3 separate regions of the Mus musculus genome follow, and all the other regions are reported to be linked to region 1. Evidence: microRNA targets listed by miRTarBase, many of them from high-throughput screens and not tested one by one. Region 1 holds a microRNA gene; each other region holds the end of a gene's coding sequence.
Evidence for each region. The annotated mature microRNA mmu-miR-26b-5p reads UUCAAGUAAUUCAGGAUAGGU and lies in region 1 at 2,447-2,467, shown strand. An mRNA with a match to its seed (bases 2 to 7 or 8) in the 3' UTR can be bound and repressed. Matches are read on the target gene's strand: a 7mer-m8 pairs with bases 2 to 8, a 7mer-A1 pairs with bases 2 to 7 and ends in A, and an 8mer does both.

Region 2: the mRNA of Ddx17 is a reported target of mmu-miR-26b-5p. Seed matches in the 3' UTR shown: 7mer-A1 at 1,206-1,212 and 7mer-m8 at 1,089-1,095.
Region 3: the mRNA of Lef1 is a reported target of mmu-miR-26b-5p. The part of its 3' UTR that is shown has no 7-base or 8-base seed match.

The regions. Positions count from the first base shown.
Region 1 is chr1:74,391,878-74,396,000 of GRCm38, forward strand. Mir26b (microRNA 26b) reads left to right here and starts at 2,433; the gene lies at 2,433-2,517. It overlaps Ctdsp1 (CTD (carboxy-terminal domain, RNA polymerase II, polypeptide A) small phosphatase 1), which reads left to right. Exons shown (of 7, transcript NM_153088.2): 1 at 1-87; 2 at 1,401-1,549; 3 at 1,920-2,024; 4 at 2,142-2,198; 5 at 2,763-2,855; 6 at 2,960-3,145; 7 at 3,579-4,123. The coding sequence starts at 21. The coding sequence ends at 3,707.
Region 2 is chr15:79,526,655-79,530,777 of GRCm38, forward strand. Ddx17 (DEAD box helicase 17) reads right to left here. Exons shown (of 13, transcript NM_001040187.1): 13 at 1,042-3,863. The coding sequence ends at 3,358. Kdelr3 (KDEL (Lys-Asp-Glu-Leu) endoplasmic reticulum protein retention receptor 3) reads left to right here. Exons shown (of 5, transcript NM_134090.2): 5 at 418-1,085. The coding sequence ends at 458. Among named protein-coding and RNA genes, the nearest start is that of Kdelr3, 12 kb to the left of the region's middle.
Region 3 is chr3:131,204,662-131,208,784 of GRCm38, reverse strand. Lef1 (lymphoid enhancer binding factor 1) reads right to left here. Exons shown (of 12, transcript NM_010703.4): 11 at 3,812-3,852. The coding sequence ends at 3,818. Among named protein-coding and RNA genes, the nearest start is that of Hadh, 65 kb to the left of the region's middle.

The sequences.
Region 1 (4,123 bases):
AGCGGAGCGCGCCGGGCCCCATGGACAGCTCGGCCGTCATTACTCAGATCAGCAAGGAGGAGGCGCGGGGCCCGCTGCGGGGCAAAGGTAGGCGGGCGGCGGGAGGGCAGAACCGGACTAGGGGCCGTCCCCGCGCTGCGGTCGCTGCCGCTGTCCCGGGCGCGCGCCTCGGCCTGGCCCGGCCCGAGCCCCGGCCAGTGCGGCCGAGAGAGTTTGAACTCCGCGAGAGTCTGAGGCGCTGGGCGGGGCCTGGCGCCACCAGTGCGCTCGAGGCTTCTCGTAGTGGGGAAACTGAGGCAGAAGGCGAGCGAGGGGCTGGCGGGCTCCCGGGCGTCACCCCCTCCCCCAGTTTGGCGCCAATGGGACGAGAAGGTGGGGGTGAGGCGGCCACCCGGCCACCCGCTGAGGCTCCGCCCCCTCCAGGCTGAGGTCTGGAAGGGGTGCCGAGGTGACAGCGGGCTGGGGAGGCTTGCAGGGATCTCCCGCCAACTAACTCACAGCCAGGTTCCCACAAACTCGGGCGTCACGCGTGGAGGTGCAGACGACACCTTCGAAGGCAGAGAGCCCCTAGCCTTGCAAGACAGACTTGGGGGCCTTGTATCCAGCTGGGCACGCGACACCCAGGCTGCAACAGGCTAGGCCGGTTGGCCTCGGGCCTGTGCACGCTTGCACCCACCCTGTAAGGGGTGCTGCCCGCCTATGCGGAGCCCCTAAGGCTCGCAAGAGTGGGGCTCACCCCTCCCTCCCCTGTGTGAATTTCAAGATTGGGAAGTCACTCCGGGTTTGTCCACTGTCCAGTTCCTCGCTCTTTGGGGGTTGGGGGGGGGGTGGCCTGGAGGCAGAAAGGATTAGAGAAGAGGCTTGGTGGGGGTAGGTCTGTCAATTTAGACAGGCCGCTGCAAAGAGACGGGGCGGGGTGAAGGAGGTGGGGCCGGTGGGGCTGACAGCCCTGGGACACTGGCCTCTGGGCCCAGGCTCAATGGGGACTTTGGACTCACTGGGTAGACAGAATGGAGGGAGAGTGGGAGTGGACGACAGGGCCCTGAGCCCTGAAGGTCCAGAGCAGGGGATGCTCAGGTAACGTCCACCTGTGGGGTCAGATGATTGAGAACCAACCGTGAGAAAAATCGGTCCCCTCCTTAAGCCATCTACTTCTTAAAGTGGCTGCCTTCCTAAAAAGCCACACCAGATTTCCTTAAGACGCTGAGCTGCAGGGGCCCTGAAGTGGCCCGTGGTGGGGCTCATGGAAGCGGGGTTCTCTGGAGGACAGCCAGCCAGAGCCACCCCCATGTGTCTCCTGATGGAGGGAGAATGCTCACATTCTCTGTGCTCAGGGATTTGAGACTGGAGTGCATGCAGCCCCTGCAGGCCAGTGTGCCCACATTCACGTCTTGCTTCAGGTGACCAGAAGTCAGCAGTTTCCCAGAAGCCCCGGAGTCGGGGCATCCTCCACTCCCTCTTCTGCTGTGTCTGCCGGGATGATGGGGAGCCCCTACCTGCCCACAGTGGGGCTCCCCTGCTGGTGGAGGAAAATGGCGCCATCCCTAAGGTTTGTGGCAATTTGGATGCACCGAGACCTAGCCGGAAGTAGACTTGGCAGATACAGATAGGGGTATAGGCCCGAACTTCACTGATACACGTGCAGATCCTAAAATGTGCAGAGGGAGGGCGCTTGCCTGCTAGGTCCCCCCCCCCCTTTCCAGCCCCACTGCAGCCTCCCAACCCACAGTTATGCCTTCCTTGCTGGTGGGAACTTTATGAGGTGAGGAAAAAGGATCCATATATCTTACCCCTGGCTCACAGTTTGCAAGACTCCAAGCTGGGGAGGGGGTAGAAGGTCTGGTCGGGTCCTCAGATAGAGAAATTTGGGGAGGGAAGCCCCTGTAAGAGGTGCCCTTCCAGCCCAGCCCTCCCCACAGCACACCCCAGTCCAGTACCTGCTTCCCGAGGCCAAGGCCCAGGACTCAGACAAGATCTGCGTCGTCATCGACCTGGACGAGACCCTGGTGCACAGCTCCTTCAAGGTGGGCCCTGCCTGGCACCTCTCAGCCTCTAGTCTCTTGACAGGGGGAGGTCTCTGCTGGATTTCCACCCTTGGGATTCCCTCCCCGCCAGCTCCAGCCATTATTCTTTCCTTACAGCCAGTGAACAATGCGGACTTCATCATCCCGGTGGAGATAGATGGAGTGGTCCACCAGGTGAGGGTCAGAGGGAGGTGGGGAGCTTGGTGTCTGCACTACACCCAGGTTCCTCCCACCCTTCTTGAGCGAGTCCCCCATGGAACTTTAATAGATGGGGCGTGTCCAAAGCTCAGAAAGAGTGAGAACCCAAGACTACCTGGTACTCCAGAGATGGAGCCAGACTCCCAGACCTGCACACTGGGCTCCTTCTGGTCCTGTCTTGTGCAGCCCTCTTTCCCCTCTTACCCCTACTGCCCGGGACCCAGTTCAAGTAATTCAGGATAGGTTGTGGTGCTGACCAGCCTGTTCTCCATTACTTGGCTCGGGGGCCGGTGCCCTGCAGCCTTGGGGTGAGAGGGCTAACCTGGACTCCTGCATTTGGATAAAACCAGTGTGGGAAGGGGAGTGGCTCCCACTAGGTGAGGTGGGACCACGGGAATCCTATTCTTATCTCTTTAGGAATGGGGTATGGTTGGGGCAGCCTCTCTAGACTGCCCTTCCTCCTCCACTGTTCCTGTCCCCCTTTTGTGGATCACCCCTAAGCCTGTTGGCCAGCAGCTCCCTCACTGGCTCGTTCCCCAGGTCTATGTGCTGAAGCGGCCCCACGTAGATGAGTTCCTACAGCGAATGGGCGAGCTCTTTGAATGTGTGCTGTTCACTGCCAGCCTTGCCAAGGTGAGCCATTGCCTGGGGTCTGGGTCACCCATATCCTCCCTCCCACGTTGAACATGCAGCCCTGGACATTACTCATTCTGAGGTGACTTAACCGCCTACCCTAGTACGCAGACCCTGTAGCTGATCTGCTGGACAAGTGGGGAGCCTTCCGTGCCAGGCTGTTTCGAGAGTCGTGTGTCTTCCACCGGGGGAACTACGTAAAGGACCTGAGCAGGCTGGGCCGAGACCTGCGGCGAGTGCTCATTCTAGACAACTCACCCGCCTCCTATGTCTTCCATCCAGACAATGCCGTGAGTACACGGGACCCAGTGGCTGAGACACGGGACCAGGGCATATGTGGAGGGACCTCCCCAGCCCTGTGTGTGGCGGTAGTGGGGACTGGTAATGTCCTATTACCTGTATCTGCTCACATATCCCACTCGGCCTATGTATGGAGGGTCCTCACCTCTGGCTGGGGTCCCCATCTGACAGTCTTCAAAGCTGCCAGTCACGGCCTGTAATGGGATGGAATGAAGGTAGTGAGTCCCAGTTAGGATCCTGCTGAACGAAACAGTAAGCTTAAGTATATTTGTGGACATTTTGCACACTGGTATCTACAAATGAATTTCACTGTCAGCTGCCAGAAACAAAACAAAAACCAAACAAGTATGTGCCTTGTGGGCAGGAATTGGGCTGGACAGGGGACACCCCGGGACACCGGCGCTCCTCATGTCGTCTCTCCAGGTACCAGTGGCCTCGTGGTTTGACAACATGAGTGACACTGAGCTACACGATCTCTTACCCTTCTTTGAGCAACTCAGCCGCGTGGACGACGTATACTCAGTGCTCAGACAGCCTAGGCCCGGGAGCTAGTGAGGTGTCCTGGGGCCAGGACCTGCCTCTCATCAAGGCCCAAGCCTCTCCCCAGCAGACTGTGGGCGCCTGCCTTTGCTGTTAACACCCCCGGCTGTGTCATGGTCACGGCCCTGGGGAAGAGGTGTCTCCCCTGCCATGTTGCATGGAGGACAGTGAGCCCTTGGGCCCCTGTGTCAGTGCCTTCAAACTTCTTCCCCTCTTCTCAGGGGACCTGGGGGGCCCTGCCTGCTGCTCCCCACTTCTGTCTTATCCACGCTGCCATGTTTCTCTGTTGCCAAATTGGGCCTTTTCGCCCCAGTTCTGCTCTGGGGGTAGGGACAGGGTTTTTGCTGCCCCGTGCCTTGGATTCCCCACCCACCCACCCACCCCCGTCTGAGAACAGTGGACACCCAAGTGCCTTTCATAGAACCCTC
Region 2 (4,123 bases), not on the chromosome of region 1:
TTGGGAAAACCTCAATCTCCAAAAGCCCCGAAGCAGCTGTTAGCAGTAGTAGACCTTGAAACGCAAGGAAACTAAGTTCACACAGAACCCCAGGGATCTAGGTTATGGGGTTTGTTATTGTGTCACCATGCCCAGCAGCCACCATGCAGAGACTAATCAGGGCAGTTTAAAAACAGGGTTGGGATGGATAGACACAGGCTATGGGAATGGAGTAGACATACTCATCTAAAATGATGTAAGAACACCAGTAACCAAAGTGGGGGGAAACAGCATAAACCCCACGGGTGACCCGCAACAAGTAACAAGGGAGGCAAAGGCAGGCGATCTCCAGTTCAAGGCCAGCTAAAGTGGAGGGAGGGGGGCAGGAATTCTTCTTTAAGTACAACACATAGTAAAATTTTATCTTTTTTTCCTTAGTCCTTAAAGGAAAGAAATTAAGCCTCCCGGTGCCAGTTTGAAGAGAAGGGCCACCCCTATGGCAGCTAAAGCAAACCATCCGGATCACTGCTTCATGACTTCAAGCCAAGACTTGGGACTTCATGTTAGAGTGACTGGTGTGAATTTGAGCAAAGCACCATCTTGGGATAAACGGCAGCACCTCCCTAATCCACCATGGATAGAATGGGATACCTAGCCCATCTGCCCAAGGATGGTGCCCTACAAGTGCCAAGTGAAGAGAAGCAGTAGATACCTCCGTGAGTGGCTCAACTCCTTGCTTCCTTAGGACTATACAACTCATGCCCAGGGCTGGGAAGATCCATTCAGAGAACCTCCCTAGGTCAGCGTGCTGAACTCGAGCCACATGTCCACCTGGCCTGCAAGCTGTAAGCAGTCCAAATAACCAGCTCTGCCAAGTGCTTAGGACTGCTTAGCTCACTTGTTAGCTGAGATGGACACCATGGCCACTGTGTAAATCCATTCTGTGCTAAGAACCACCAATGTAGCCTTCCCCTCCCAGCCTGAGGTGCTAAATAGAATGCCTAATACACTCACCCTGCTTAATGTTTTCACTGCTTGGAGGAAAACATTAAGAGTACACTTAAACTCTTTTTAAGTTTTAATGTAATAAAAAATTCACACCTTTATTGTCAAGTATTTATTTATACCTACAAAAGAAAACAAGATGGTATCAAAAGGACAATTTACAAACTAAGAATAGTAGTAACATAGCTCTGAGCATCCTGTGCATAACATCACACCTACAATTCAAGTCTCAATGACAGGAATGTGTGGAGAGACCAGCAAGGGCGTTAGCAGAGCACTGATCCCAAGCAAAAGCCACCAACCTTTTTAGATGAGAAGTCTGCACAATGGATGGTTAGGGAGAAGCAGCCCACAGCCTAACACCTAAGCCCTTTCCCTAAGTGAGTAAACCATAAACGGCAATTAACCCAGCTGGAAGGGTTTGCCTGCACCTGTGCTGACAAAGGACAGACAAGGAGGCACAAGTCACTTGCGCCAAGTAGGAAAACTGCTAGTTTTCTGCTGTACCCAGGCCAAAAGAGCTTATGAAATATGACATCTGCTACTTATCTGGATTATGCCTCTGCTGGAGAGGGGAGGTTAAGCAACCTAGCTACTGCTTCATCCCCGGAGGCAGTAATAGAAGGGGTGTTTTTGAAGAGTGACAGGAGCACAGGACAGCCCATGGTATAATGCTTAATAAAAAATAAATCTGAATTTGGTTGTAGAAAGTATCTGTAACAGGCTGGTCAGCATCAGTGATTAGACACTTGCTTTTGGCAGGGTGAGAGACAGACAAGACAGGACACACTTTGGTTTCAGAGCACAGAGCAGGGTTGCCACACATCTGTGCCTACCATCCCCCCTCAGCTTCATAGTCTGTAAAACGGTAAGGAAAACAGAAGAATGCCAAGCATGCTGACAACCTACCTGTTATGTTACACACTGAATCCTATTTTCTGAGCCCCTCAAAACCATCCCTTTCTCTTCCTGAAAGAAACCTCAAAATTGACTGTTACCGTACAAAGGAGCAGGCACCCTCAGGGCACAGCCAAAGAATGCAGTGGAGCCTCCTCCCTGGAATGAATTTGAGCGGCCCAGGTAACAGCCACACACTAGCCCCACCACTACCATCTACTAGAGGCGCTGGGGCATCTGCTCTCCTGTCCTGTTTAGGTGATAAGAGCAGAATTTTCTTTCCAACTTCATCTGCTGCTCTTCCAAGTTCCAGGAGCATTTAATAAAGGGGTGAGACGAGCTCACCCCTACCTTCACACTCCAGAGAGTAAGGAGAGCCTGGGCTTCAGCCCTCCATGGCTACTACCTACCTGTGAAAAACTGAGGGCAAAGGAAAGCCCAGAACAAGTGCCTCCAGCTGTTAGAAAGCACCTCAGAGACCAGGCTTTGAGGAGGCAAGCTCTTTAGCAGTCCTGCTCAGGAGAGCCTGACCAAGTGGGCAGAGCAGCCCATGAGGTCAATCCTACTCTAAGAATACTGTTTAAGAGGAAGATCCGCCCACTCCCTTGCAGTCCATCATTCCCAAAGGTGCTTTCTAAATGCTGCTCGGAAGGCTCTGCTGAGCGCTGATGCTTACCGCTCAGTGGCTGATCTGGCTAGAAAATGACTTTCAGATGGCCCCTGGTTATGTGGGGATAAAAATCCCAGGCAGCCTCTACCCAGATGCCAGTCTACCTAGTAAAAACAACCCTTTATAGTTTTTTAAACTTAAAAAGACAACGCTTGAACTCAGAAATGTAATTTCTAACTCAACACTAACCTGGTTAATATTTAATAACTGCAGGAACAAGTGGGGAGGGGGCATGATGACAGAATCGATTAGGAATTTTTAACTGTTGAATGCACATAAGAAGCCATCAGCCAAATGACCAACAAAGCAGTCTTAAAAATTCATCAGGCCTGAGTAATCGAACTTCAGTAACTTAAACCCACCATGGGCAGTGTGCATGGAAATCCCTCTTGGCTCCTCCCTAAGGAGAGCAGTCTAAAGAACAGATACCACTTCCTGCAGAGCAGTCCCTCCTTCCCTACCCACCCTCCCATGGATAAACAGGCTCCAACAAAAGTGCCTAATACCTTTAAGATGAAAAATAGCTCAATATCCTCAACATGCATTAAGCTGGGGGAAAGAAATTAATTCTTTCCAGTCAGTTATGTGTATATATATTTTTTCTTACAAAATCTGTAATTATAGACTGGATCTTTTGGGTGGGCAGAAGAAACCTGGCAGTGAAATTTTAACTATCTGCATTAAAAAAAGATAAACCGTAATGGTTGAGAAAAGAAAAAATAAAAATGAAAAGGTCTAGAAGGGTAAAAGACAGTGTTCCTTTAGATGTGTAATTCATCTGCACGAGTCACTCCTGCCATGCAGTTTCATTTGCGAGATGGAGGAGGGGGAGGGGGAGGGGGAGGGTACTGGTAAGCAGTCTGCCCCATGTAGCCTATCATATTGGTAGCTCCTGGAGGCTGTGCAAACTGCTGTGACATCAGTGGCTGTGGCTGCTGCCCAGATCGGCCTATCCCACTAAACTGCTGGCTGGAGCTCTGAGAGCTCCTCCCTGCTGAGGCAGTGCTGCTCGCCCCGTAAGTGCCAGCAGCATACTCCTGCGCCGTGTAGCCACTGGTGCCATAGGCAGCTGCCCCATAGGTGCCTTGAGCATAGGTGTATTGGCCTGCTTGTGCCCCAAAGGCAGAATTTGGGCTTCCATAGCCACTGCCATTAGCATAACTGGCTCTATCGGTTTCACTACGATCCCTGTAGCTTGTAGAATCTCTCCGGCCACCATCCTTGACCCCTCGAAGCCTCCGGTCACACTCGTCCTGATACATCAGATTGGGATTGTTGGCTGAAGAAGTAGTCCGGTATCGTGAGCGGCCTCCTAGTGGGAAGAAAATGCCGAGTATGTGATCCCAACAAACTGAACATAAAGGGGCACAGAAATACTCAACACATGTTCTTCATCTGTAACGCTAGTCTCTAAGTTAATACTTCACTCAACTTGGTGCCTTTTAGAGTCTTCTTGATAACAAAACCAAACTTAACCTGAGTGTACCACACAGCTGTAGATCAACTGTATGCCTCGGTTAATACTATGCTATGAAATGAGGTAAAATTACCAAATTCTCCAAAGGTATCAAG
Region 3 (4,123 bases), not on the chromosome of region 1:
CATGGGAGAAACCAAACCCACGTAATCAGTAGTAGTTCTGAGTACTTGTGGGCGCCAGAAAACCACTCTGGGGAGGGGAAGAGGCCTCGGAGGGGATCTGCACAGGAAGTGAAGAACCACACAGGCAATTGACTGTCACACAGAAGCAGTCTGGGCGGTGGCACGTTAGGGAAGGGAGACAAAAGGGTCCCTGTGGCAGCACCACGAGGCGGTGCAGATCAGAAGTTAGATGAATTAATTAGAGGCCCCGGTTTCTCTCCCTACTCTCTCACCCCATGCAGACCCAAGACCAGAGACTGTGAGACCTGGGTAGACCAGTCCTGGGGCTCTCTGCTGCAGCTCTTCCAGAAGGGACTACAGATGACTGTCACAGGGCCCTCCTCCATGGCAGAGTACTTTCTTGAGGTCTTGAGGGCCAAGAACCTTTTTTTGGGGGGTGGGGGTGGGGCGGGTTAGAGTCAGGGTTTCTCTGTGTAGCCCTGGCTGTTCTGAAACTCACTCTGTAGTCCAGGCTGACCTGCCTCTGCCTCCCAAGTGCTGGTATTAAAGGCGTGCATACTACTGCTGGCTGCCAAGAATCTTTTATTTTTATTGCAGCATTAGATTTCTTGGCAAGACTCCTTTGTCAAACACCCTCCAGTGGCACAGGTAGCACATGACAGTGGGGTCCCTCTCTGTCCCATTCGATGCAGCATCTCCAGGTCTTAATAAGCACTAGTGGCTGGCAAGCCCCGGTGCAGGAGTTCTTACAGCAAAGGAAGAAGAGAGGTGTGGAAAGCAAGCATTCTGTCATCACTAATTCACTGGACTCTTTCTGGATGGCCGCCTGGGTTCCTCTATGCTCTGCACATATCTCGTAACTCCCAGGTTTTCTCTGCACAAGACTGTGGTGGTGGTGGTGGTGGTGTGTGAGTGGTGACTTCAAAGACCATGTGGCCCATCCAGGAAACGAGAGAGAGAGAGAGAGAGAGAGAGAGAGAGAGAGAGAGAGAGAGAGAGAGAGAGGGGGGGGGGGGGCACGATACTAGTGGCTTTAAGCAGTAAGTGCAGCAAGCCAGGCTTCACCCAGCAGCTGGGGACTCGAGGACAATGGGGGGGGCAACAGCTGGGGGCTCGAGGACAATGGGGGACAGCGACTGGGGGCTCAAGGACAATGGGGGACAGCAGCCAGGGGCTCAAGAACAATGGGGGGAGCAGCAGCTGGGGGCTCTAGGGCAATGGGGGGCAGCAGCTGGGGGCTCAAGGAGAATTGGGGGACAGGGGAAGGTTTTGTTTTGTTGTAGTATATTCAAAGAAGACTCCTTAACCTTCAGGAAAAAAAAATTAGTGGCGAGAATCTCAAAGATTTCTGTGACTTATTAAAGAAACAGGCAGCTGAAGTGCATTTTAAGACAAAAAAATAAGCAGATTTTACATCAAACATTTTGTATCAAACTCAGCTTTTATATCAAATATATCAAGTATATAATATATACATACATACATATGAAATCATGATTACATATATAATCATGAAAGGTATTAAATCAAGTTCCAACTCTTAAGTACTGCAGTGCATTTCACACGAAATAGGTAGCTCTAAAACTGTTGAAGCAAAAGCTGCATTTAGTCCATGACTGAGAGCTGGCCCTGGGCACACTGTACTTCCGAGGGCCTTCTCCGTCATGGCTGGACATGCAAAGGTGGGGTAAACTATTCCTAAGCGATCAGCAATGAAAAGATCACATTTATAAAACAGGCGTGGTCTCCAGTGCCAGCAAACCACGGGTGGTGGTACATGCCGGTAATCCCAGCACTCAGATGGTGGAGGCAGGAGGATCAAAGTTCAAGGTCAACCTTGGCTACATAAGTGAGTTGGAGGTCTGCCTGTGCTACATGAGACCCTGTCTTAAAGAGATGAAACCAAGAAACGAACAGAAACAATACAAGGTGTGTATATGCAAGCTTCTTTCTAGGTTGTTCATCTATGAAGCCAGATGTATCCTGGGGCTGGGATTATAACCGAATCATCCCCTGTGAACTAAAGAACAAACCTAGGTGGCTGGCTCAGAAGACCGTTATTAGTAGCCACTCAGTTAGGTAGCCATCATCTGTGACTGTGTTACGTTTGGGTGTGATGCCACTGATGTCAAGAGGTGGTCCATGGAAGAAGCCATCGAGCCTTAGGCTAAATCAGTGAGGTTAGGTTTGGATAGAGCAACTGTGGTACCAGCTGGGGATTTGGAAACCTGGTAAGTCAGAATGAAGATCAAGAAAGTTTCTCAAAAAAAAAAAAAAAAAAAAAAAAAAAAAAAGAAAGAAAAAGAAAAAGAAAAAGAAAAAGAAAAGAAAGTTTCTCAAGAGAGTAAGCAGCAGGGTTCTGGGAGGAGGGAGGGGCCTTTCTGAGTTCCTATTGGCTAAAGACAAGTTATGCATTCCAGATGAGGAGACCAGACTAAGAAGCTGACTAGAGGGCCCAGGTAGTCGACTGGAAATTTAAATCTACTTGGTGCCAGTACCCTGGGAGATTTCCATAGGGAAACATCATTTGAAAGTTCAGGACCCTAAGTAAATTCTCAAGCTGGGATGGGGTTCCCTGGCTTGGCCCAGAGCATCCATCCGTACTGCAGGCCATTCTAAGGGATGCTGCCCAGGTTGGTGTGTTCGTAAGTAGAGAGAGCAGGCCTTCCAAGCACAGGGACCATCGTAGGTGGTGCTCTCCATCTATTTGTGCAACTGCTAATTTTATCTGGACAGAGCTCACATGGGTCAGTTTGGAAGTGAGAAGAAACCTTGAACAACTGACCCGAGGCACAGACACACGATAGGGCAGTGGCAGATCTCACCTAGGAGATGCGACTGTACCCTTCAGGCAGTAAGAACTGGCTGGCCTTGAGTAGAGAAGAGACATCATTCATTGGTGTTTCGGAAAAATCCCTCCGAGAGCAAAATGGATAAACTGTAGAAGTAAAATCTGTGGCCATAACACATTCCTAACAGCTACAATAATAGCAATGCAGTAAGGGACTAGGGGCTGGCGGTCGAGGAAGGCAAGAGGTAAAGAGGACCCAAAGGAAGCCCTGCAGGGCTGGGTGACTCTGCACAGGGTTCTAGAGAAAGAACACAGCAGATACATTGGCAACTGTGGTCGAGAATGGATACACCCTGTCAATTCAAACTTAAGACCCAGAATTTACCTAGGAAGCCAGTTTCCTGGGTCATGTGGATCAACATTAAAGACTTAGCATAAAAATGAACAAATCAGGTTTGACTTACAGGTCCTTTGGTAAGGTCTAGCAATGATTACCCATAAAGGAAAACACTCAGTAGAAGATATTTTAAAATAGAAAGAAAATGATAAACCCACAAATCTCCCTCCTTACAAACACACTGCCCACACATCATCTCAACCGAGTCTTTACCATGTACCAGGACAGAGACGGGTTCAAAGGTGACCCTCAGACTCATCCCCACTGCAGGTGGGGGATGTCAGGCTGCTTCCTATATATACATTTTTTAAAGGTTGATTTTTTTCCACTGGTCAGTAAGAAATAGCTGCGAAAATAATATTGAGGGCAAGAGAACAGAGAAATAGCAATATGTATATATATAAAATAAAGGCATAATAGACGTGAAGGCACACTGCGTCGGAAACACACAGCTGGGGTAAAAACCCACGAGCGACTGGGTCATCCGCACTAGACTGACTTGGGTGGCCTTTTCCTCTTTTTGGGAACCATGCTGAGCGGAACTGGTGAGAGCGAGGAGATCCGCAAGCAAGCGCCTCGTTAAGAGCTAAGTCAGCAGCAGGGGCCGAGAGAGTTGATCTTACCATGTTTCAGATGTAGGCAGCTGTCATTCTGGGACCTGTACCTGCAGAAAATTGTGTCTTTAAGAAATGTTTATGGAGAGGTTTCTGTACATTCCAAATATGTAGTAGCTATAACACCATGTAGACCTGCTCGCTTTGCCCTTTGGGTTCTCATGGCGGCCCTGTCTGTGTGTTGTGCAGTGCGTGTGGTGGCCCTTTAACGGACAGGGAACAGGACCGACATGGGCCCTCGCTGACTCCTGCCATCAGTGTGAGACAAGCCCCACTTGTCCTTTAGTATTAAAAACCCCAGACACATGAGAGATGCTCAAG